2 linked regions of the Oreochromis niloticus genome follow. The protein of the gene in region 1 purifies or fractionates together with the protein of each later gene. This does not show direct contact. Links are inferred from orthologs where the notes say so. Each region holds a gene or a part of one and is shown on either strand. Other genes may lie near its edges. The genes, in order: timeless and tipin.

Region 1 (12,384 bases):
AGGCGCACCTTCGGAAGCCCACACTCCATTTCGTTGTCCTCTTACACCCCCGTGTCCTCTCGAATGCCTGTTTCTTCGGGACGCTACATGCGTTCGATGTCACCTGTGGTGACATCCCGATCCACCGCCTTCCACCAACAGCGTTCCCGCCCTAGCCCCCAGCCCCCTCGCCTCTCCTATGACAAGGTGGACTTCACTCTGGCCGAAGCCATCAACCAGGAGTTCCTCACCACCCGCAGCAATGAGAAGGCCGAGCTGCAGGAGCTCAACGACCGCTTTGCCAGCTTCATTGAGAAGGTGCGATACCTGGAACAGCAGAATGGTGCATTGCAGCAGGAGCTCAACCAGTTCAAGGGCCAGCAGCAGCACGGGCAGCCCAACCGTGCATCTGAGCTCTTCCAGGAGGAGCTGAGGGAGCTGCGGCGCCAGATGGATGCTATCGGCAAAGAGAGGGACCAATACCAGCTGGAGAGGGATAACCTGGCAGAAGACTTGACCCTACTCAAGCAAAGGTTGGTACCAAGGTGACAGACAGACAGATAGACAGACAGATAGATAGATAGATAAGATTATCTACTTTTCTTTCCTCCCATTTTAAGCAAAGAGGAGACAGAGAATCTGCTGCGCTGCTACTTGACTCGTGTAAAGGGTGAGGTTGGGCGTGGCACAAAAGCAGCAGCATGATACAGAGGACACAGGAGGCTGCATCGTATCATGTGTGCAAATCATATCTGGCTATATATAAATGTCTTGAAAGACTGAGTAACTAAAGGTAAGGTGAAAAATGTCTATTAACAAAAGCAAAGAGACCAAAGGAAAAAAAAAAAATCTGTGACACTGTAATTGATGCCAAATAATTTCATGACATGACTGACAGTAAATTGTTTTCTTGACTGCCAAATCTGTGCAGTGCTTTACAAATGCACATTAGAATTCATGCAGACAGGAAGACAAGAGGAGCGAGGAGAAGGATGGAGAAATCGGACACAGGGAGGGGCTGGTGAGGACCAGCGAGGAAAGAGAGAGGGGAAATGGGACCAGAGGAAGAGAGGTTGGGTGTCAGGCGTGGTGAGGATAGCGTCAGGAAAAATCAATGTGACCCAATGACTCCATTAGGTGTATTTTCAGTGTCCCTCTGTGTGCTGATGGGATGGTGCCAGAGAGCCCATTAGGACAAAAGGCCCTGTGTAACACGACATGAATTAAAGATGAGGCAGCAGGACCCACTAATCTACTTTATGTCCAGCCCGGGTAAAACCTCTGTCTGACATAACAGATGGGCCTGCCTTCACCTGCACATCCAGACACTGACAGCCCAGAAGAAGCTAGCAGAAGCAAACTTAGATGTTCTGCATTTAGATCAAGGACTTTAAAACTTTAACACGTTTGACAAGAAATCCAATGAATAAGCAGAAACCTATAATTCATTTAAATATTTTCTGATATCACGCAAATTCTCTTTAATTTTTTATCACTGTAAACTAGCTTCACTAGTGTAATGATTTAAAAATATGTTAAAAAATTATAAGTGTGTGTGTACATAACCCTTCTGAGTGCATGACCTTATTAAACTGCAGAGACGCCACATTAGCCGAGAGGAAGAGCAGCTGATCCCAGTGGGCGCACTCCCAAAAATCCTTTTTACGACACAACAAATTAACAAATTGATCCAGAAAGCTTTTTGCCAGCTGATGCCCTGCTGCAACCTTTGACTCAGACAGTATTCTTGGGGGGAAAAAATAGTCCACCTGTTCTTCTCCCGTGCCTTTTTATAAAGGAGATTTTTGACTGTCATCGATCATTACTGAAAATATTGCATTTTGTTCTTAGGTTGGATGAAGAAGCCCAGAAGAGGGCAGATGCTGAGAATAACCTAGCTGCCTTCCGCAAGGTAAACAACAGGCTCAGTGGACCGTGACTGATTACAGTGTCCCCTTTCAGGTCACAATGGACAGCTTTGTTCCACCTCCAATACTTATGTAATACTGCCACAGTAATATGACAGGGCAGATTCCTAAAATGGCATTGATCCAGACCAGTGCACACAGGAGCCTGTGTACATTTTTTAGTTAATGCATGTTTTTATATAAAAATTGTATCCTCTAAGGGTGCAGATGTTTGTACAATTGAAACACACATACACTGAATGTTTTCTATTGCATTTTATTTATGTCTGCCGTATCCTATCTGATGATTTCCTTTTACATTGTTTTGTAGGATGTGGATGATGCCACACTGTCTCGTCTGGAGTTGGAGAGGAAGATTGAGTCTCTGATGGATGAGATTGAATTCCTAAAGAAAATCCATGATGAGGTAAGTGGTCCTATCACTGCATCCCACTTCTCTTTGTTTGTAAAAATGTGAACCTTCTTTCTTTCAGGGTTCACTTATCAAAGTACAGAATATTTTCTGGAGATCTAAAATCGTAACATTCTTTCCAAATACGTAAATCCTCTGTGATTTAATGTCATTTAAATCATTTAATCTGATTATGATGATTTAATTAGCATTTAAATCATCATAATCAGATTAACTGACTATTTAGTGAGTATAACACTAAACAATTAAATTCAATTTTATTTATATAGCTCCAACTCACAACATTAGATGCCTCAAGGCATTAGAAGGTAGAGACCCTACAGTAATACAGAGAAAATCCAACAACCCCCTTTGAGCAAGCACTTGGTGACAGTAGGAAGGAAAAACTCCCTTTTAACAGGAAAGAAACCTCTGGAAGAACCAGATTAAAGGAGGGGCAGCCATATGCTGTAACCGGTTGAGGGAAATGGGAGCGATAACAGATCAGGCACTAAAGTATTTGGAGCACAGATGCAGAGAGCTGGTAAAGGGGGGGGGGGGGGGGGGAGCAAATACACTCCAGGCTTGGATATGCAAGGATTTGTAAGAGACGTTCCTGTTAGTGTTTGCTAAAGCTTGAGAGTTAGCCATTATTGATGAGACCCAGCCTCCGGAGGAACTATTGTATGGACACAGATGTTTCTCACTGAGAATGTGAAAAGCATCTTTGCAGAAGGAAAATGGTTTTCACAATTTTTATGTGCTTTTATTCGTCATCAGGAAATCCAGGATGTACAAGTGAGCGTCCAGACCCAGCAGCTGAAGATGGAGGTGGACAGCAGCTCCAGGCCTGATCTAACTGGTGCTCTGAGGGAAATCAGAGCCCAATATGAAACCATTGCCTTAAAGAATATGCAAGAATCTGAGGAATGGTACAAGTCCAAGGTAGGCAGAGAGAAAGACACACAATGACGGGCCACACACAAGTATATAAGTATTTGGTGTTTTTTTATGTGTACTTCATCTTTTGCTTTTTGCAGTTTGCTGATCTGACTGAGTCTGCAAAGCGCAACAATGATGCTCTGAGGCAGGCCAAGCAGGAGGCCAACGAGTCCAGGAGGCAGATTCAGTCTCTTAACTGTGAAATTGATGCACTGAAGAACACGGTAAGCTGGAGTACCAGATGTCATTAGTCTATCATAATGTACTATACACAAGTATCAGCAGTCAAGATGTTTTTGGATAGCCGTCTAAAGTCTGATGTCCAAATGTGGGGTTTTTGTTTTCTCAGAATGAAGCTCTGCTGAGGCAGATGCGTGAAATAGAGGACCAATTTGGCAATGAGGCAGCCAACTACCAAGATAATATAGGCAGGCTGGAGGATGAGATCCGCCACCTGAAGGAGGAAATGGCTCGCCACCTTCGCGAGTACCAGGATCTCCTCAATGTCAAGATGGCTCTGGACATTGAGATTGCCACTTACCGCAAACTGCTGGAGGGGGAGGAGAGCAGGTAAGCGAGAACATGCTGCGTCCATGTCTTCACTAGTAACAACATGATCAGTATCAGTATCATCTGTTTCTTCAAAGCTTAGCCCCAGATAATGTTACAACTCAAGTGCAACAAAGCAATTAGCTTTTTATTACATGTTGTAACACCTTCATGTTATTTTTCTGTTTAGGATTTCTGTTCCCATCCTCAATATTGGCATGAGCAATCACCTTGGAGGTAAGCTACAGTTGTTGTTTTTTTTTTCACAGTCAAATATAAGATTAAATTCTCTCACACCTTGGCATTAAAGCTGTAACCATTTGATTGCTCTTCATTTTCTTCAGCATGGAAACTTTAAAAGTTTTCAGAATTCCCATTTTGTTTCTGAGCTGCTCTCTTTGGCTTAATCACTGGCACAAATTGTAATGAAATAAAAATGTGTTGTGACTTCTTTTATCACAGAAAACATTTTCCAAAAGAAAAGTTCATCTTTTTACTGATTATTCTAACAGGAGGGGCTCATGCCGGAGGCAGATGTAAAAGTAATCTAGGATTCTCATTTAAAACAATGGGTTCTTTTACTTCTAGGACAAAGGGGGCCTAGAATCCCAGAACTTTGCCTCTTATCACTGTCCAGTAACAAACTCTTTCAGTCATTCATCAAGATGATTCAACTTTTCTAATAAATCTCTCAAAAGTAAAACTTGTCTTTTTGTGAGTGCACATATATCTAAATGTTAAAATCTAAGCAGCATTTTAACGGAACCTTTTTGCAGACTATGAAAAAGCTCCGGATAGCATGGGCAAGAGGACTGTCGTGATAAAGACAGTGGAGACTAGAGATGGCGAGGTAAGGTGATTTATAGAAAAATGTTGCTTACCAAAGATCACAACCCTGATCACTGGCAAGTAACACAACGACAATATTAGTATGCATCACGTAGAAAAGTTATACTAACCTGGATATTATGTTCCTCTTTAGGTGCTGAAGGAATCCAGGAGGGAGAAAGATAGAGATTCTGGTGCAATTGACAAGGATGACATGGATGAGTAGACAGAAACTCATTACATAATATGAAGGCCAGTGCCATGATAGAAACAAAACTGAAAATGTTGATGAAAAATAGAAAAACAAACTCCGATCTGTACACTGTAGTTCTCGTTCTCACTAGTTAAGAGTTTCACTGTTTAGCAAATTGTCTCTCAGCATAGGTGCAACCATGGATGAATTCCTTTAGACAGTGTCAATCTGGTGCTATTTAAACCACCCAACTTTTTGCTAAACACTTTTGCTTTCTGTAGCAGTAAAACCCCTTTATAAACGAACCGCAGAGGCCTTGGTTTACAGTGCAATCCTAAGATGATCTCACATTTGTAGCAGAGTATTAAACCACACCCTAAACTACGTCATTTATGTACAGCATTTTAGTTGTTTGTGTTATATAAATATCTCTCTCTATATATGAATGCCTTACTAACAAACTGCTTGACACTGCCCTTTGGCCAACAAACCTTACAAACCGACTGAGAACAAATCAAGATGTCTGCATTTGTTTTAGAAGCTTTGCTGTCCTCTTACTGTGCAAATCACCATTCACCAAAGACATGGATTATTAGTAAATACAATAGGAAATTCTGACAGTGAAAATATGAAACTTTACTGATTTTGCTTTGCAATGCCGTGTGTATCTGGCACAACCGAGGAAAGAACATGTATGTGAGAATAAAAGTCATCCGTGAAAATAAACGCCATCCATGCAAATCAGTGTTGTTGTTGTGTGTCCATCCATGAATGTAATCATTCCATAACCTGCACTTTGCAATTTTCACGTGTGAAGTGGGTTGCATAATAAAATTAGAGGATAGATGCAAACGATCGATCCTATTACGCTATTAGTTCCGATACCAATATTTGGCATCCATGATATCGATATGTGGATCAATCTGGCTACTTTTAGTATGTACTGGTGAATCGGGTAGTAAGAGAGCTGAGGTGTAGCTGGGAGCAAGACCACAAAGGTATTAGTCAATGACAGCTTAAAATAAATTCTAATACATAATGGGAGCCAGTGTAAAAAAGGCCACAGTGGGATTCTTTTGTTCTCGTTAAAAGCCAGACAGCTGAGTTCTGAACAGATGTTTGTTTTTGTTTTGTTTTGTTTTTTTGTTTTTTGTTTTTAATAAGACAGGTAAAAATCCTGTTGTAGTAATTTAGGCCTTATGAGGGAGGTTGCCTGTTGCCTGTACCTTTATGTTGTTTCTATTCTCTCTGGTCTCAATCGCGGGTTACTGAATCTGGTTTTCCAACAGAATTTCTTAAGTTAATGCAACGCTTAGCATTTTTGCACACGGTCTTATCCATCACATAGGACCCTTTGTTATAACTATCTCTTTTTCCCTGAGTGACACCTCCCAGACGAACCTTCATCGCAGACTGCAGCGGTTTTCCACACATTTCGCGAACTTTGCTTCCGCCATACTTGAATCCTGCTGGCTCAAATCTCTGTATTAAGCTTCTTCAATTAAACTTATCACAGCCATGTCAGTGCTGTACATTCTTTTTTCAGTCCCCAACTTAAAAAGGCGCTACCTGAAAGGCAGAAATCAGGGCGCAGACAATTCAAGTCGTGACGACATTCTACATCCGCCTCCAGAATTTTCGCTCGCGGTCTTGGCGCGAGACTTGTCCGGTTTGTCGCAGTTGTGTGACTGCAAGTGGAAAACAGCCGTATATTGTTAGAAAAGACTGTCGCCAAATGCGCTGGAGGTTGTTTAAAAGGAGCGACTGAAACAACATTTGGACGACCTAGAAGGTAAGTAAGTTGTTTCTACTTTATTTATACTGTATGAAACGTAAAACCTAAGGTAGCTGCTCTGACACAAGATTACCGATCAGAAGGAAGACTGCAGTCTTAGCAGAAATAGTAGCATAGTAGTATTATAAGTATATAGCATACAGCTCTAAATATGCCATCAATAACATAAGTCAGGTTTCTTCAGCAGGTCCTGTAAATAAATAGTAGTAATTGTAGTAAAGCTAGAGTGCACTCAGTTTGTAACGACACACACTTAACAAGGTTGGTCATCAAGTCAAGCACAGCTGAGGAAGTATATGGAAAAATTTGTCGCTTTATTTATTAGGTACTCATTGCTGGTACCTGGTTGGACCTTCGTTTGCCTTCAGAACAGCTTAATTCATAGATTCAACAAGCTGCTGGAAACATTACACAGAGATTTTGGTCCTTTTTGACATGACAGCATCATACATTTGCTGCAGATTTGGTGGCACTACATCCACGATGAGAATCTCCTGTTTCACCACAACCTAAAGATGCTGTGTTGGATTCAGGACAGTGAACTCAGTGTCATGTTTAAGAAACTAGTTAAAGATAGTTTGAGCGTTATGACATGATGTTATCCTGCTTGTAATCATCCATCAGAAGATGGGTTCACTGTAGGTATGGTCAGTAGCAATAACTTCGTTGGCTGTGTTGTTTAAACAATGCTCAGTTTGTACTAAAGGGTCCAAAGCATACCAAGGAAATGTCCTCTACACTATTACACCACCAGCAGCAGCCTGAACCACGTTTTCATGTTGTTTTCACCAAATTATGACCCTACTGTCTGAATGTCGCAGCAGAAATTGAGGCTCGTCAGACCAGGTACCATTTTCAGGTCTTCTGTTGCCCAATTTTGGTGAGCTTGTGGTAATTGTAGCTCCAGTTTCCTTTTCCTAGTTGACAGTAGTGGCACAAAGTGTGGTCCTCTGCTGCTGTAGGCCATCTACTTCAAGGACACGTTTGAGACACTCTTTTGCTAACCTTGTTTGTAAGGAGTAATTATTTCAGCTTAAGCTTTTTGTGATTATTCTGACAATTTTAGGTCACTTACACTGATCCCCTGGACTTCAAGGCACCCTGATGGTGTGTGGACTTATTCATGATGAACTGTGAACTTTTGGCAACGTGCAGTGCTCTAGGTTATCTGGAGGGAGACACCTATCACAAGGAGGCTGATTGCTTAGGTGAGTCCATTTGAAGTGTAAATATGTATATGTAGTTGTTGTTTTGATCCAGAACAGTCCTCTCACAGCTGCCCGGTCTCTATGTCACAGAGAGTGTGAAAGACTTGATTCGCTATTTACGCCATGAAGATGACGCCCGTGATGTCCGGCAGCAGTTGGGTGAAAGCCAGATTGTACAGAATGACCTTCTGCCTATTATCATTCAGCACAGACAGGACAAAGCCTTATTTGATGCCTGCATCAGGTACGAATCCTGAGAAGTCTCATCTATAAAATATATGTGTATATATAAATATGCTTATCTGTATTTTAGTGAAGGTTATTTGGGTATATTTTTTATCTTATTTTTGTGTTATGTGATATGTTTTGTGATTCTGGAGTAAAGATTGATTGATAGGCAAGTGACAGTGACAAATAAAAATAGTAATACTGTCCTATAATACAATTCGTGTAACATGTGTTACTATGGTGACAGATCATTGTTAGAAAAGTAATAAATTTGATTCTCTGTCGATACAAGTTGGTTTAAAAAAAAATCTGTTACTTAAAATCTCTCTTTTTTTTTTCTTTTTTTTTTTTTTTTTTCTAGACTCATGGTCAACCTCACGCAGCCTGCCATGCTCTGTTTTGGTAAAGTCCCAGATGACCCGGTGTTCAGGCATCACTTTTTGCAAGTGACGTCTCATTTGCAGGCTTATAAGGAGGTATTTGAACAGCAATAACGCAAGGATTTTATAAAAAGTGTTTTTTATGTAATTACAAACAAAATATTTGCAGCCCATGTTTTTATAGCTCACCATAAAAGTATCACTGTTGCCACTGTATCATTATCTTTCATTTTCAGGCATTTGCCAGTGAGAGTGTGTTTTGTATCTTGAGTGAGACATTGTACAACCTTCTACAACTTGTGAGTATTTCACTTGTTCAGATTTTTGTTTTCATTGAACCGTTTCCACTCGGAGTAAAAATGCTTCTGATTCTTCATGTGTTTCTGTCTGCATCCTCACCTTTGGTCACTCAGGACTGGGAGCAGAGACAGGAAGAAGATAACCTGCTGATAGAGAGGATTTTGCTGCTGGTTAGAAATGTGCTTCATGTACCTGCGGACCCCAGTGAAGAGAAGGTTTGACTTAAAAAACATTATGCTGATTCCATATAAGTGCTTTGCAAGTTCTTCCCATCCCTAATCTCTCTCTTTTTATCCCTTATTTGCAGAAAGTGGATGATGACGCCAGTGTCCATGATCGAGTGCTGTGGGCCATTCACATGAGCGGCTTTGATGACCTGATCAAGTTCCTGGCCTCAGCACAGAGTGAGCAGCAGTGGAGTATGCATGTGTTGGAAATCATCTCCCTTATGTTCAGAGACCAGGTTAGACAGAAAAATCCATTTTGGGAGTGCACATCTAAATTTTCTAGCTTTCTCTGTTTCAGTGGGTTTTGTTGTTGTTGTTGTTGTTGTTGTTGTTGTTTTCTTTCTTTACAGACTCCAGAAGCTTTGGTGAGTGCCGGCCATGCTCGTTCAGCAGAAGAGAAGAAGAAGGACTCTAATGAGCTGGAGGCACTGAGGCAGAAGGAGCATGCAGAGAAACATTCTCGCACTTTACAGAGAGGGACCAGGTGCAGACACACAGATGTTCTTTAGTGCCAAGTTTACCGTTGCCAATTACAGAAGAGTTTAAGTACACATAGATTTTCAAGTGGTGGTGTGTGGGAGGTCCTGGGTAAGCAAGGGTTCCAACTCGAACCTCTGAACTTCTCAGTCAAAATCACTTCCTTCCTGCAATTCTGGACTGTTCACAATAATGTGTATTATATTAGAAGTATCTGTGAACTAGGAATACCTCTGGGTGAGGTGCATCTACAGAAGAGTTGCAGTAAAAAAAATAGTTTCATGGCAAAAGTCAGCAGAGCATTAACACACATGGTGGAGTTGCAACAAGTTGGCTTAGAATTAGCGTAGATGGATGGATAAATGTCATTATATGCTTGCAAAAATGTTCCCAAAAGCGCTATAGCATCCTCAGTACTGAGACACAATGTATATGCTGTTGTTTTCCTCTTAGACACTCTCGCTTTGGAGGGTCTTTTGTTGTTCAAGGACTGAAGGCAATAGGGGACAAAGATGTGATCTATCACAGGAACCTTCAGAATGTGAGCTGTTCAATTTCCATTAAGAAGTCTTTCCATTAAGTGATCGTGTTAAGAAAAAATAATTTATTCTGTTTTATTTATTTATTTATTTTTTTAAGTTTAAAGATTACACTCACGACATTGGCAAAGCAGTGAGACGTGTTCCCAAGAGGCATCGAAAGGCCCAAGAAAGTGGGGAAAAACGACGTTCGGCCTTAAATGTTCGACTTTTCCTGCGAGAGTTTTGTGTGGACTTCTTGGAGAACTGCTACAATCGACTCATGTACCTCGTTAAGGTCGGCCGCTGTTACGTGTCTTATTTTTTTGTATAGATGTACAGTGATATGCTGAACACAAGTTTTTCTCAGCTAAATTATTAAAATGCTTGTTTTGTGAACAGGAAGATGCTTCTAACCTCGACATTTAAAACCATAGAAAACATCCAAAAAGGGCATCTAATGTTTTTTGTTTTCACCAGATTTTTGTTTTTCTTTGTCTTCTCAACAGGAAAGTCTCATTCGTGAGCAGACTCAGCAACATGATGAGACCTATTACCTGTGGGCACTCAGCTTTTTCATGGCTTTCAACAGAGGCAGTTGTTTCCGTGCCGACCTAGTTTCTGAGACCATGTCAATCCGGGCGTTTCATTTTATTGAGCGTAACATTACCAACTACTATGAGATGCTGCTCACAGACCGCAAAGAGGCCACTTCTTGGTCCCGCAGGTAAGGCGATCATTTAGAAGCTGGTTAATGGAATCGAATACTTGAGTTGGCCCAACACTGCTGCGATTTGTTCTTTTTAGGATGCACTTGGCATTAAAGGCATATCAAGAACTGCTGCTAACTGTGAATGAGATGGACAGATCGGAGGATGAAAGCATCCGGCAGAGTTCCAGCGTCATTAAAAGTAAGATTGTAGGTTTAAAAGTTTATATATAACTTTTGTTCAAGGTGAACAGTTTTTCACATGGTCTTCTAGCATATGTATAGTTGTGATCAGACGTTTGGGCATGAATGTCATGGTAAATTTGGGCTTTTGTACAGCATAAATCTTAAATGATTTTAAAAAACAAGACTTTGAGTGCACAAGTTTTAATTTATTTTGGATTTTCTCTGAACCACGCAGGGTCAAAAGTATACAAACAGTCTCAAATATGTACCACTAATACACTCTTTTAACAAGTGGTGCTGAAGGTTCTACAATGACTTTCAACTCGCCAAGGCCTATTAATTTCTCGTTCATGGTCATGATTGAGTACAACTGCTATGAAAAGGATTTGCTTGATAGCACTCATTGGATTGACAAGTATTAAGTACAGTGGGAAAGTCCAAGAACTTCACAGACGTGCTAAGGAGAATTGTAGATTTGCACAAATTGGGAAGATTGCTTGGAGCCACTTCTAAACAGCTGCACATTCCAAGATCAGTAATTCAGATGTGTCACCTCTTTGCCAAAGTCTGGCACAAGACCCAAACTGTCACCCTCAGATGAGAGGAAATTGGTCAGGATGTTCAGGAACAACCCAGGAACCTCAAGGCTCAAGCCTGCCATGAACTAGAAACTGCTCAAAGACCAGCATCACTGTCCACAGTGAAGTGGGTTTTACATCAATTGAGAGACAACCCAAACACCTTCTGGATAAATGTTTTAGGGTCAGATGAGACAAAGATTGAGCTGTTTGGCCACAATGTCAAGAGGTATGTATGGAGGAGTGAAGGTGAGGCTTTCAAACTGGACTTAATTTGCCTCCAGTGGTACTGGTACATTGCACAAAGTGGATGGAATAATTAACAAGGAGGACTACCTGCAAATTTTTCACCTTCCCCTCAAATCAACAGCTAGAGGATCGGTACTAATATTAGCCAGATATTAGTGGTATATATTTGAAATATAAATTCATACTTGTTCACCCGAGATATATGCTGTACAATTATTCCAACCTGGAAAAAGAACAACTCAAAGAAATGATTAAAATCCAAAAATAACCACAAAATTCATGCCCACGATGAGTGGATGTAAACTTCTGTCCACAACTGTGTATACCACTAAGACGATCTTTAGTGTTAATTCTTGTTTATGGCTGATTATAAGAGTTTGTCTCATCTGTTTACTTTCACTTTCTAGGTAACATATTCTACCTGATGGAGTACAGAGAGATTTTCCTGACCTTGCTGAGAAAGTATGATGAAACCAAGCAGCCTGAGTCCTACCTCAAAGACCTGGTAGAGTCAACTCATCTCTTCTTGCGAATGTTAGACCGCTTCTGCAAAGGCCGCAAAAACTTGATGGTGCAGGTAAGTTCTTATGCTTAATTTGCAGTGTTTGTTTTTTTTGTTTGTTTTTTTTAAATGTTAACATTTGCTCTGTTAACTCTTCAGAGGAAGAGGGTGAAGCGGAGAAAGTCTCAAGGTAAGAAAAAGGAGGCAGCTCCAGAAA
Region 2 (12,537 bases), on another chromosome or scaffold:
CAATGCTGATCGTTTTATTAAAGATGGAAGAATTTAGATAGTTTTTAACTCTCAGTGATGCTGCAGTGTTCGTTTGACTTTGGGGCCTGAAGCCGATGGAGTTTAGGACCCAGAGCACCTTGCACCTTAGTCCGACAAATACGGCAATAACAACGCCTGCTTGCATGTTCTACAAAAAAATGTGCTTTGTTGTGTGTCTGACGGACAAACACCAAACCAGTTCCACATCACTCAAGTGGCACCATTTTTACAAACCGATTCTGGTTCATCCGTTTCACTCAACAATCGGCCATGTGCGTATGAAAACAAAGGCATTGCGCATGCGCGTTTTACCCATATTCTATCGCGATATTTCATTTTCTTATCGTTGCCTAACATTGTACCGGTATTATTGTGAACGGTATAATATGGCCCAGCCCTATTGCAAAGTTGCAATTAATTTGAATATTTTATAAAATGAAAATCTGTTTTTCTTTAATACAGCTTGCAAGTTTTATCCTAAATATAATCCACGTTCTTACTTAAAAGCTTATTTATCCTATGATTTAGTATGACTTAGTTCTGTCCAGTAATATTGTGAACAGAACAGTAACAAAGGAGTGCCACTGGGACACCCACTGGGAGACCCACTGGGAACGAGCCTGACTTATTGTTGGCATTACTAACCAGGTTGCCTGCAATCCAGCAGCACCAGCTCTGCTTTTCATGTGTGGCATAACCAGGGCATCCATCTTTCTCACACACATCCAGGGATGTCTCCAACGCTCTGACAATTTCCAGTCGGGGAATTTTCTCCATCCAAATGATGAAAACAACAATGGTATTAGAGTCTTTCTTCTTTAAATGACTGGCAGAGTGAAGATGCACCATCATCACACAGATGCAGTCATTTATATCCGCCGCTAAAGCGTAAGAAGACGCTGCAGTATTCTCCTAAACAACAGGTGTCACCACTCAGATAATATCACATCACTTTTTTGTGCAAAGTTCTTTCCACAAACTTAAGTTTTCAAACATTTGCAACATCTCCCTCTGTGTGTCAGTGTGTCTCTGAGCTTCTGTGCACGATTATTACTCAAATGGTGATAAAACCAGTGCGATCGTACACTCGTGTGTTCAACCCGGCCACATCGCAACGCACCAAGTTACAATCAAACCAAGAGATGCATGACCACAAAGATTGTGTTGCGTTACACAGGATGTGATGTGAAAATTGTCATCAGACACCGGCGACACAAACAACGCAGCAAGCTTAAAACATCCTGACGCTAACCCACTGATACTGTGCACACGTCAATCAATGATTTTGGCCTCCTTGTGTCCCAGCCAGCCCGTTCTCACTCCCGAGGCGTAACATGCTGACGTTTTGTCACGTCCCGCGGCGTTCCCGAGGAACGCGAAAGGAGACCTTCGGCGTTCTTATGGTACGCGGCGGGTTATGGCTGAAATCCAGTGCAATGACGCTCCCGCGGTAATAGACGTTCCAGCCCTGTATTCCAGCCCTAATCATAACCTTATTCCTGACCTTAACCAAGACTTTAATGACGTTAAATAGCGTGTTTCTAAGCGATTTGAAGAAAAAGAGCGAACATGTGTAGATTGAGTCCAGACGGTTCTCATATTTCCTCATTTTTCCGAGGTCGTCATTATGGTGGGTAGCCGAAAACGTAATATGTTGACGATTTGTCACCTAGCGTAAAATGTTACGCTTTGGGAGTGAGAACGTGTTGAGCTCACAAAAGATGGCATCAAATTCCTATTTAAATGCGCATTTTAATGCATTTCAACCATCTGTCGTAATATAAAATGTCTTTGCTACCTGTGGGAGTCCAGCTTGGGTTGGGGTCTCTTCACGCCTCTCCTTTTAGCAGTAGGGACATCAGCCAGCTGTGATACCTCACCTTCATCTCCTGCATTAAACAGAGCACATGACAACAGGATGTGTTTCTAACTCATTCTGTTGGCAGCATGGCAAACTTCAAGCTTATCTTTTAAATCCAGAAAAATTATAGATTGGAGGTTACAGAAGAAATGTGCTGGTTTGAACAGTATCTATCTGATAGATTTCATTTGCTCAAGCAAACAAAAACATGCATGTTGTTATTGTTAGAAACATCCAGTCTCAGAGTGATGCTGAAAAACCAGTTCATGCATTTGTTAATTCTAGGCTGAACTAACAAATTCATTATTATCAAGCTGTTCCAAAAAGCTTTGTGGAAGGACTAGAATGAGAGGTAATATTTCTCCCATATTAGCCTCTTTTTACTGATTCTTATTTTTCTATGTGATTCTTCATTAAACCATGAATTTAAAATCCTTCTCCTCACATACAAAGTGCTGAATTATCATGTCACATCTTAAAGACCTCATAGTAATCCTGTAAGAGCACAGCAGCATCTACCATCTGCAAAAGGGTCTCCTTCCTCCTGGGCTCCCCGGCCTGGGGAGTGTGGTGGTGGGAGTGGGGGGAAAGCTTCATCCTCTATGCCGTCATAGTCAGGAATGTCATGCGGGCTATTTTCCTGTTGGTCAAGCATGGTGAGTCGGTCCTGGAGACAAAGTAAAAGACGTGTGAGCCCCAGTCGTCAACAGCATCAGCATTCAGTTTAGATGAATTTAACTGCAATTTGAAAAAATGAATTACATTTATTTCTGTAACATTAATTCTTTACTGTGTTACAACATCAACATGAAACCTAAAAAACTGGCATTTACTTTTTTTACATCAACAGGAGGAGCTGTACAGACACTCATCCAACCTGGAATTATACCCCACATTCTGAAATGTACTATTATGATACATTATGTTTGTTTCACAGTTATATACATAATACAATTTATAGATTTGCATATATTTACATTCTATCAGGGATGCACTGGTTGTGAACTTTTGGGCTGATAATGACATTTAAGAGTTACAATTTGGATGAATTATTATTGTGATACTTTTTTTTTACAACTCTGTAGTATCACAGAAATATCATTAAAGTAACAGGTTTGTTTTAAAGTCTTTCAGCTGTTCGGTAAACTATTTTCATCATCATCATCATCATCGTTTATTTATATAGCACTTTAAAAACACACCTGGTAGACCAAAGTGCTGAACAATACAAATATAAATATAGTAATAAAATAGCAAAAACCAAACATAGCAATAAAGTAAACTATTTTGAGCCAAAATGATGTGACACAACACATAAATACCAGAAAAGAGAAAAGAACATCTTCTATATTGCTTTGCTGTTCACACAAATTCTAATGCTACCCTTTGTTTTTGGAAGCAGACAATTTTCTGTCCAGTATTAAAGTTCAAAAAACAGAGACTATACGTCTCCAATGGACTACTAAACAAGTTTACCAGAAAAATCAGACCCACGGTCATGTTGTGCCACTTTATTTGAGTGATTAGTCAGCAGTAATAACAGGGAATGACAAACTGACAGACTTTGTAGCACTCACCCCCATCATCACTAAGTGCTTAGAGCAGCTGGTCCTAGCACACTTCAAATCCTGTCTCCCCCCCACCCTGGACCCCCACCAATTTGCATACCGCCAGAACAGGAGCACAGAGGATGCAGTCTCCATCGCACTGCACTCTGTCCTCTCACACCTGGACAACAACAACACCTACGCCAGAATGCTGTTTATAGACTTCAGTTCAGCATTCAATACAATCCACCCCTCACAACTCATCAGGAAACTGACAGACCTGGGCATCAGTTCCCTCATCTGCAAATGGTTACTGGACTTCCTGACCAACCGCCCCCAACATGTCCAGCTGGATAACCGCTGCTCATCAACAATCACAATGAACACTGGTGTACCACAAGGCTGTGTGATGAGCCCTTTCCTCTACTCCCTCTTCACCCACGACTGCAGACCTGCTGATGGTTCCAACACCATCATTAAGTTTGCAGATGACACCACGGTGATTGGCCTCATCAATGACAACGATGAGGCCACCTACAGGGAGGAGGTGGATCGTCTGGCTGAGTGGTGCAACAGAAACAACCTGCTGCTTAACACTGAGAAGACCAAGGAGCTCATCGTGGACTACAGGAGGAATGCTGACCCACATCCACCCATCCACATTAAGGGGACGGCTGTGGAGCGTGTGAGCAGCTTCAAGTTCCTGGGTGTCCACATCTCCGAGGATCTCACCTGGACGACCAACTGCTCCAAGCTGGTCAAGAAGGCTCACCAGCGCCTCTTCTTCTTGAGGACTCTGAGGAAGAACCACCTGTCCTCAGACATCCTGGTGAACTTCTACCGCTGCACCATCGAGAGCATCCTGACCAACTGTATAACAGTCTGGTACGGGAACTGCTCTGCCTCGGACCGGAAGGCGTTGCAGAGGGTCGTGAAAACTGCTCAGCGCATCGCCGGAGCACCACTTCCTGCCATAAAGGACATCTACAGGAAGCGGTGTCTGAAAAGGGCTGGGAAAATCATCAAAGACCCCAGTCACCCATCACATGGACTCTTCACCCTCCTGCCCTCTGGGAGGCGCTACAGGAGCCTCCGGACTAAGACCACCAGGTACCGGAACAGCTTCTTCCCCACAGCTGTCAGACTCCTGAACTCTGCCTCCTGACATCTGACCCACGTTAAACTCATGGACTGAACATACACACACCCACAACCACCTACACCCACACACAATGGACAACTGTACCCTCAAACACACAATAATAACATGGACTGAACCACCACTCACAACCACTAGCACTTTATATAGCCTCTGTAGAAATGATCCACATATCTCACTTATCTTAACTGCACTACTGTATAATTCTGTGTAAATAATCATTCTGTACATACAATAAGTTTTAATCCTACAACTGTTTATGACTTGCATAGTTCACATTTCTGTATAACTGTACATCTCATATTTCTGTATAGTTTTTTTTATTTCATATTTATATCCTGATTATAGCCTGTACATAGCTTGTACTCACTACAGCCTGTACATACTTATAGTTATAGAATATTCATAACATACTTCATACCGTGTACATTATAACATACCATAATAGACCCATTTCTGTAATATACTTACATATCTATATTATTGCTAATATATATTGTAATATATCTATATCATGGCTAAAGCACTTCTGGATGGATGCAAACTGCATTTCATTGCCCTGTACCTGTGACATGTGCAATGACAATAAAGTTGAATTCTATTCTATAAAACAAACAAACAATTTAGACATTTAGAAGGTGAAACATCTTTTCAGCTTAATTCCTTTTGCTGTATATGTCTATGTATGTATTTGCTGTATAGTGTCATTTGTTTGGAACATTAATCTTGATGTATACATAAAAAATTGATTAAAAATGAACACTGACACAATGAAACACAACATGTGTGCACGGTGACTACAAACAGAAGCATAATGTTTGTGGACTGCTTGTATCCTCCTGTGGATACAAACCAGCAAGAACTCCTCAGATTTCTGTCATTTACCATTAATGAAGTTTGACTTTTATTAATAAATAGAGAGTACGAATATCGGGCCGATATCACTTCGTCTGTTAGGCCCTTAATGGGATCGTCCGTGAAGCGGACACATCAGTGGCTCACAGGCTTAGCCACAGGAAGGTGGCAAACTAAACAAGCTGCTGATCTGGCCCAAACCCAAAGAGCTCCCACACGACTCTGTAGGATGTCACGTTCAGACCAGCAGCAGCAGGACACCATTATGTGCACCGTTAACGTTAGCGGCTACAGTTTGGACAGAACCAAACTGAGAGACTTTGGGTAAGTTATGAATAATGTAAGCTAACTGCTGTCAGATGAAGGAACTCTAAAGTGTGATAAGTAAATGAAATAGCAGCTGTGTTTAAAATGAAAGGAAACTTTATTGTCATACCTGTTATGAGCAGTCGACAGAGAAACGCTACAACTTTTAACTTCAGCCTATAAGATGCGCCTTTTTTCCCTCCACAGGAACGAACGAACGTCTCCTTCTTCCTGGTTGTTTTTAGCGGTCAGCAAACAGCAAAATTGTGCATTAGCGCCACCAAATGGTAAAGATTGTCCACTGAAAAGTCAAATTCTGTCAAACAATTTTGCCTTAAAAATGAAATATGGCCTGATAACTTTCACCTCATGAGTGTTTTTACAGTAAGTCGATGAGTTTCAGTGTGCTGTCATTCTACTGAGATCATGGGTCAGTCATCTTCTCCTAACCGGTTATTTCTTACAATCTAACATAACATGTGTTTTCCAAAGTAATCACATTCCCCTTTTTTGTGTTTCCCTTTCATGAATAAATGGACTGCTTAAACCAGTGTGCCCAAATCTAAGCTTGTGTTTGTCATTTCTCCTACTTTAATTTTAATTTTAGAAACCTTCCTTTCTACTATTTCTACCACATTTCCATCTCTTCCCCCCCTTACTATGTTCTGTGTGATCCTGTCCATGACCCTGTACTTTTGCTAGAGAGAGAAGTTTTGGCAGCTCTTTTCTGATTTCTAATGACATTTTTCTGTGTCTACCAATAATGTTGCTGTTGGAGCTGTTTTAAATACACCTATCCAGAATCTTGCCTGATATTGAATACAGTTTCATTTCAGGAGAGCTGTGTCTGCTGCTGCATCATATACGACACATCTACAGTATAGCACAGATCTGATGAACCCACTTTCGACTAAACACTGAATTATATTTAATGCCTTCTTGCAATTTGTCTACTATTTTCTGAATAGCCCCTGTCACCCTTTCATCAAACCACAGTCCAAGAAATAGAATAATAAGAAAGGGCACACCATATTCCCTGGTGTTCCACTTTCCACCGAAAGTCTTTCAGAGTAACTTGTATTTGTCTATACAATAAATAAAATCCTTCATCATCTATAAATTCAACCATTGATAACAGTTTTCCTCATTTGTTTACTAGCCCCTCTCTAAACATCATGTCTTATATTTTTCTCATTTCATGTTCTAAACATTATGCTGGAACCACTTTGATATTCTATACAGTATGATCCTCTTTTATTTATAATATTCTCCATTATTTTGCAGATCTTGGATGTTAAAGCTCTGATTTGAGTACTCACAGCACTTTATATTCATCCATTCACACACATTTACCCAGTAAGTGCTTTCTATCTAACACTCACACACATAACCTGATAAACACATCAGAGAGCAACCTGGGGTTCAGTATTTTGTGGAAGGATACCTGGATGCTCTGCTTCCCCAGGTAGTCATTGGTCTAAATGATGGGCAGTTTCCCACACTCCCAAACTCTGTTAAATAATTCTAATAACACATTTTTTGATGACTCACTAAGAGTCAGAAAAGATTTCCTCTTCATCATATAACAAATCTGATCTTTTCCTGGTGCTGCTAGTTTGGATTCACAAAGTGCCCATTTCACTGAAAGTTATATTTAATAAATCATCAGACGCTTCTACTTGTTGTAATAAATGCTTGTTTTATATCATTGTAATTTCTGTCCTTTGTTGCTCTTGTTCACCAGAGTTGCTTTAACAAAAAGACATGTTTGTCTTTATCCTGTCTTCCTTCTCTCTCCCCAACCGGTCACAGCAGATGGCCCCGCCCCTCCCTGAGCCTGGTTCTGCTGGAGGTTTCTTCCTGTTAAAAGGGAGTTTTTCCTTCCCACTGTTGCCAAAGTGCTTGCTCATAGGGGGTCATATGATTGTTGGGTTTTTCTCTGCATGTATTATTGTAGGGTCTACCTTACAGTATAAAGCGCCTTGAGCCGACTGTTGTTGTGATTTGGTGCTGTATAAATAAAATTGAATTGAACTGAACTTAACTATGAATTTTAAAAAATAACCTTTTGCCAATGTTACCTTTTCATAATTTAAACCTAGATATTCATTACCTATAAATTTGCATTATATACAGAAGAATTTAAATCTTCAACATCAACATATTTTGCATTTCCTGATCACTACCTAATGTAAATGTTTCCTAATCAGCAGAACTGAAACACCCCGTCTGGTGTCACCTCTGTGTCATACTCCTCTACACTCAGCTCTGTGTTAAGTACCTGCTATGAACAAAAACTGGCCAGTGAATCTGAAACTAATGTGATTCCATAATTCCAGCTCTAGCATTTAACCTTTTACAGCTTATGTCATGCAGATGAATCCATTCATTCGTCAATAACTGCTCCATTCTGGACATTGTAATTCCATCTAACATGCTGCTTGCATCAAGTCCCCACATCAGATTACTTTTGCTTGTGAATGTCTGCCAAGTTCCTCCACTGATTGTGACGATCTGTCGCATGGGCTGTAAAGAGGAACTGCTCAAGATTTCAATTATAATGTGTTCTAAGTGTGTTGCTATCGGATCATTTGCTGCCCACCACAGTTACAACATTTATCTCGTACATTATCTTTAAATTCTTGGTGCAATTAGCACAGTACATTGATGTGTCCATGTTTTTGGCACCTGAGGGGTGAAGGGATATATGGCCTAAACGAAAAGCTTATGCAGCCTCCTGACATTCCAATCCGATATTCCAAAATTCCAAGTACAGATCTGATAACCTGTTTTTTTTTTTTTTTTTTTTTACAAACCTCACCACTGTTAACACTCTGTTACTGTTTTTCTAGATCCTACTGGAAAACCCGTCATCACTCCCTGCATTACTTTGGTTACATTTCTTTCAAATACTCCCAGCATGTAACACTATTTTTGTTTTTGCTGTCTGAACCACTATGAACTGAGAATTTTAGTCAGGTGCACCTCTCTGAACTTCCTTTTTAATTCCCTAGACAAACCAGGGGGCTTCACTGCATATTCTCATCTTACTTTCATTTCAGGGTAATTTAAAATTCCTCTTTTACCAGCTTTTGCCATACAATACATTTGTCCAAACTGTTCTCCACTAAACTCTGTTTACTGGTCTGTATAAGCTTTCTACTTTTTCTCCCTGCTTCATGAGTAAGTAGAGAAAACATTTCTTCAGAAAAAAAGTTACTTCTGTGGTATTTTATTATGAATGATTTCATGAAGCTTCGAATATTTTTGTGTGGCTGTATCTTAGGAGTTGGAGCAGGTTGTGTATTTGGAGATCATCTACTATTTGAAAAGTTGGCGGTTCAACAGCTGCTCCAGTCTACATGCCAAACTATCCCTGGCAAGATACTGAAACCAAAGTTGCTCTCTGATGCATTTATCAGCGTGTGAATGTTAGACAGGGTGAAGATAGAAAAGTCAGATAAAAAGCACTTATGCATAAAAAAGAGTGCATGTGTCAATGAAACGTTTTATAAAGCACTTTGAGTGCTTCAGTAGAAAAACACTACTGTATATAAGAACCAGTCTATTTACCATTTTCCACTAAAAACTGATTCCAGCTGCCTAAATCAATGTTATGCATCATCTGCCTGAGACACATTTATATTTCGGGCTCATCGGCACATATAAACATTTCTGTCCGTCTGTCGTTGACTCAGAGTTTGGGGTTTTCTGATGTTTTGGGGTATTTTTGGTTGTTCTTGGTTTAAAAGTTTCTGTATTCTGTTCAGTTGACATTCTGGCTTTCTTTTTCTGGTCTTGTGGTTACATTCTACTTATCTGTGTATTTAGTTAATTAGAGGTTTGTTATCCCTGTGTGTATTCCTACTCTGTTTCTTTATTTTGGTCTCCATGTTTTGGCTTCTGTCTGCATCAAGTTTGTGTGTCTCAGTTTCAGTCAGTTCCTGTTTTATTTCAGTGTCTGTTCCTCCCTGTATATTGTGTCTCCTTTACTTCCTCATTAGTCTTTATACACAGTATACCTAGCTGTGTTTCCACCTGTTTCCCATCCTCTTGTTATCCTGTGTTGGCCTCAGTGTTCCTTTCTTTGTTCTTTGTTGGGTCCTCCCTCACAGTATGTTATTCTTGTTGATTTTGATTTATGGAAGTCTCTCATATGATATGTCAGAGTGTAATTCAAATATCCGGCTCTCAGACCATTTTCTTTGTTAATGATTGATTTAGAATTTAATTTACTTTTGCAATATGTTTGTACAGCTGTGAATGAACTTCAACACATACAATAAAAATACATGATTACAGTGCAGGAACAGAAGGAAGCCTGAAAGCCTGTTCAGCCAGCAGGAGTCTCTGAAGTACAGCAGGTTGTTTTCTAGAGTTTTTTTTTTCCAATTCAAGTTTTGAAGTCATTACAAAATGATAAATAACTCATATTATTATTTTCAGCCCGTCCCTTTGGGGATTGCCACAGCAGATCATCTGCCTCCATCTTACCCTACACCGACAGAGTATGTCGTCCTTCGACATCCATGCATCTTCTCTGTGGTCTTCCTCTTCCATGGTAGCTTGATCGTTCAACATCCTAAGTCTTGTGTATCCACTTTTAAAGATGTCCATCTCAGCCCCAGTTTACTGGGTGGTAGCGCACTGGGCTCCTTTATTACATTTTTACATTGGTTGTTTTTCATAAGATAAAGTAATAACAAAGGAAATCAACCTAAATAATCACTCACCTTTGAATTCTTAAAAATATATTTAATTAAAGTTTCATGACCACAGCATGGACATCACCTTCTCCCCGTCAATCTTATTAGAAACTTATGGACAGTAAGCCAACACCTCTCTAAAATGAACTTGGGTAGCCAATAGAGAATACAGCTATTTCAAAAATCACACAGGGTCAGCTGATTAATGAAATAATCGTGCACAAATCTGGAATTCAGTCTCACATGGCGACAGACGTTTGCTTTTGGATTTTTCATGATGACCCCCAAACATTTCTTTTTCAAAGCAGCAGCAGGACAGTTAAATCAGCAATAAGCTTGAGACAGGATACAAGCTTACAGCATGGAAGCAAATCTTAGATTATTTTCTTTATCTGTGAGGCTCTTAATGATGTGACTGTGTGTACTTTTCAGAGGCGTCGACGCAGCAGGAACATGAAGAAAACCGCACTGATGAGGATGCAGAGTGTACACACAGTGGGAACCACGATCTCTGTTACCATCTCCATGTGGCCTATCAATGGATCTGCAACACGTACATGGAACCGAGAGTTAGTGTATCGCCATTTATTCAGCTCCAAATCACAACAACAGTCACCTCAAGGCGCTTCATATTGTAAGGTAGACCCTACAATAATACATAATACATTTAGAGCCCCAGCTTACTTATTTAAATTTTATCGTGTGCTATAAAAAATAAAAAATCAAATTTCCTTAGTGCAAAAGCACAACACTCTTTTAAGAAGATAATAAGATGGGATGCTATGGTGGTGAGGATCAGAAAAACCCTTTATATACTTCAGCATGAAACATATTATACCAGTTTTACAAAGAAAATGATAAAACACTAACAAATACCTAGAGTTACAAATAAAACTAAATATAAATGTAGAAATACGTGTTGAGTATGTTTATGGTGTGAAGCTCTGACTGTATTACTTTTGTCTATTTCTAATATGGGTTCATTCCTGCTGTAAGATGATTCTATTCGGCAACTTTTGCTTAATTTGTGTGACACGTTCTATTGTGGGGTTCACCACCATCTACACTCTAAAAATACCTACGAGGATATTCAGCATTGTTGTAACATTATGTTGTGCATGAGCTTGGTGGCTGACTAATCTGAACAAAAAACATACAAGGCAAAATGAAATACAAATAAAACAAATATTAATTGTAACATATGAAGTGTTATATAATGTTAGGAATGATTTATTTAATTAAGTCAAATGTGCGAGCAGGGCTTAAATTGAGCTGGAGGGATGTGGAACAGCATTCTGGCACCTTTAATTAATTTCGATCTAATAAACAGATTACTTCATTGTTTGTGTCCTGCTGGTATAGCAATATTTGCTGAGTAATAAAAAAAATCCTGATATCCTGTGGCAGGCTAACAACCTCAACACGCCTTTTTTCCCTTCTCATCCCTGTGATTTGTTTATGGTGCATGTAAGTAAAGCTGGCTGCAGTACAGCAGAAGAGGAGTGAGCATAAAGGGACAGAAGCTTTTTCAAGTAGCTCAAAATCCCAAACACACAACCAAACGCACAGTTTCTGAGCAGTTTGTTCCAAAATGTGTCTGCTCTCTAAAGGTGCAATCGCTGTGTTTCCCAGTGAGAGAAAAAGATGTTATTATGTAACAGTACTGGAGATGGAGAAAGAAAGACAGGGTTGAGAAATTATTTTCAAAGTTAGAGACCGCTTACCACATGAAATGTAAATTTAAAGCTTACATATAACACCCTCGCATATTCTAGAGCTCCTATCTGTACCTGATGTGTTATTGAAATGTGTTGGGACTCAGTAAAAGCTGGGAGAATCATATTAATCTCACACAGCATCAAAGTATGTACCTAAACTTCATCATGGATTGACCAAGCTTGTTCCATTCCTGCAAGTTCCTGATTTTCCTTTGACTTTCTTCTAGCTGGAGGGGCAAAACAAAGAAAAACCCTGTTAGATAAGAGAAAAACAAGCTTCAGACTGAATTTTCCTTTGTTTGGCCCCACCAAGCTTTTTACAGCCCACGCACTACTTCATCATACTAACCTGCAGCCAGCAGCT

Evidence for each region.
Region 2: the proteins of timeless (region 1) and tipin purify together in Homo sapiens (affinity purification with western blotting; 6 studies listed by BioGRID and IntAct, counting the BioPlex papers as one, with this or other methods). This does not show direct contact. The link is inferred for Oreochromis niloticus from reciprocal best matches to the Homo sapiens genes TIMELESS and TIPIN.

Annotation. Positions count from the first base shown.
Region 1 is NC_031970.2:24,484,360-24,496,743, reverse strand, and holds the start of timeless (protein timeless homolog), read left to right. Parts: upstream 1-6,414; 5' UTR 6,415-6,602; intron 6,603-7,671; 5' UTR 7,672-7,728; coding exon 7,729-7,813; intron 7,814-7,903; coding exon 7,904-8,057; intron 8,058-8,402; coding exon 8,403-8,517; intron 8,518-8,657; coding exon 8,658-8,720; intron 8,721-8,834; coding exon 8,835-8,936; intron 8,937-9,028; coding exon 9,029-9,184; intron 9,185-9,298; coding exon 9,299-9,432; intron 9,433-9,878; coding exon 9,879-9,966; intron 9,967-10,064; coding exon 10,065-10,241; intron 10,242-10,452; coding exon 10,453-10,670; intron 10,671-10,750; coding exon 10,751-10,854; intron 10,855-12,072; coding exon 12,073-12,242; intron 12,243-12,326; coding exon 12,327-12,384. Other genes in the region: prph (peripherin), read left to right, coding at 1-512, 1,831-1,891, 2,218-2,313, 3,079-3,243, 3,339-3,464, 3,590-3,810, 3,980-4,026, 4,566-4,639 and 1 more. UniProt on the Homo sapiens protein: Plays an important role in the control of DNA replication, maintenance of replication fork stability, maintenance of genome stability throughout normal DNA replication, DNA repair and in the regulation of the circadian clock.
Region 2 is NC_031965.2:3,354,968-3,367,504, forward strand, and holds the start of tipin (TIMELESS-interacting protein), read right to left. Parts: upstream 6,015-12,537; 5' UTR 5,880-6,014; intron 2,550-5,879; 5' UTR 2,538-2,549; coding exon 2,402-2,537; intron 1,911-2,401; coding exon 1,820-1,910; intron 799-1,819; coding exon 667-798; intron 1-666. Other genes in the region: lctla (lactase-like a), read right to left, coding at 10,884-10,999, 12,523-12,537.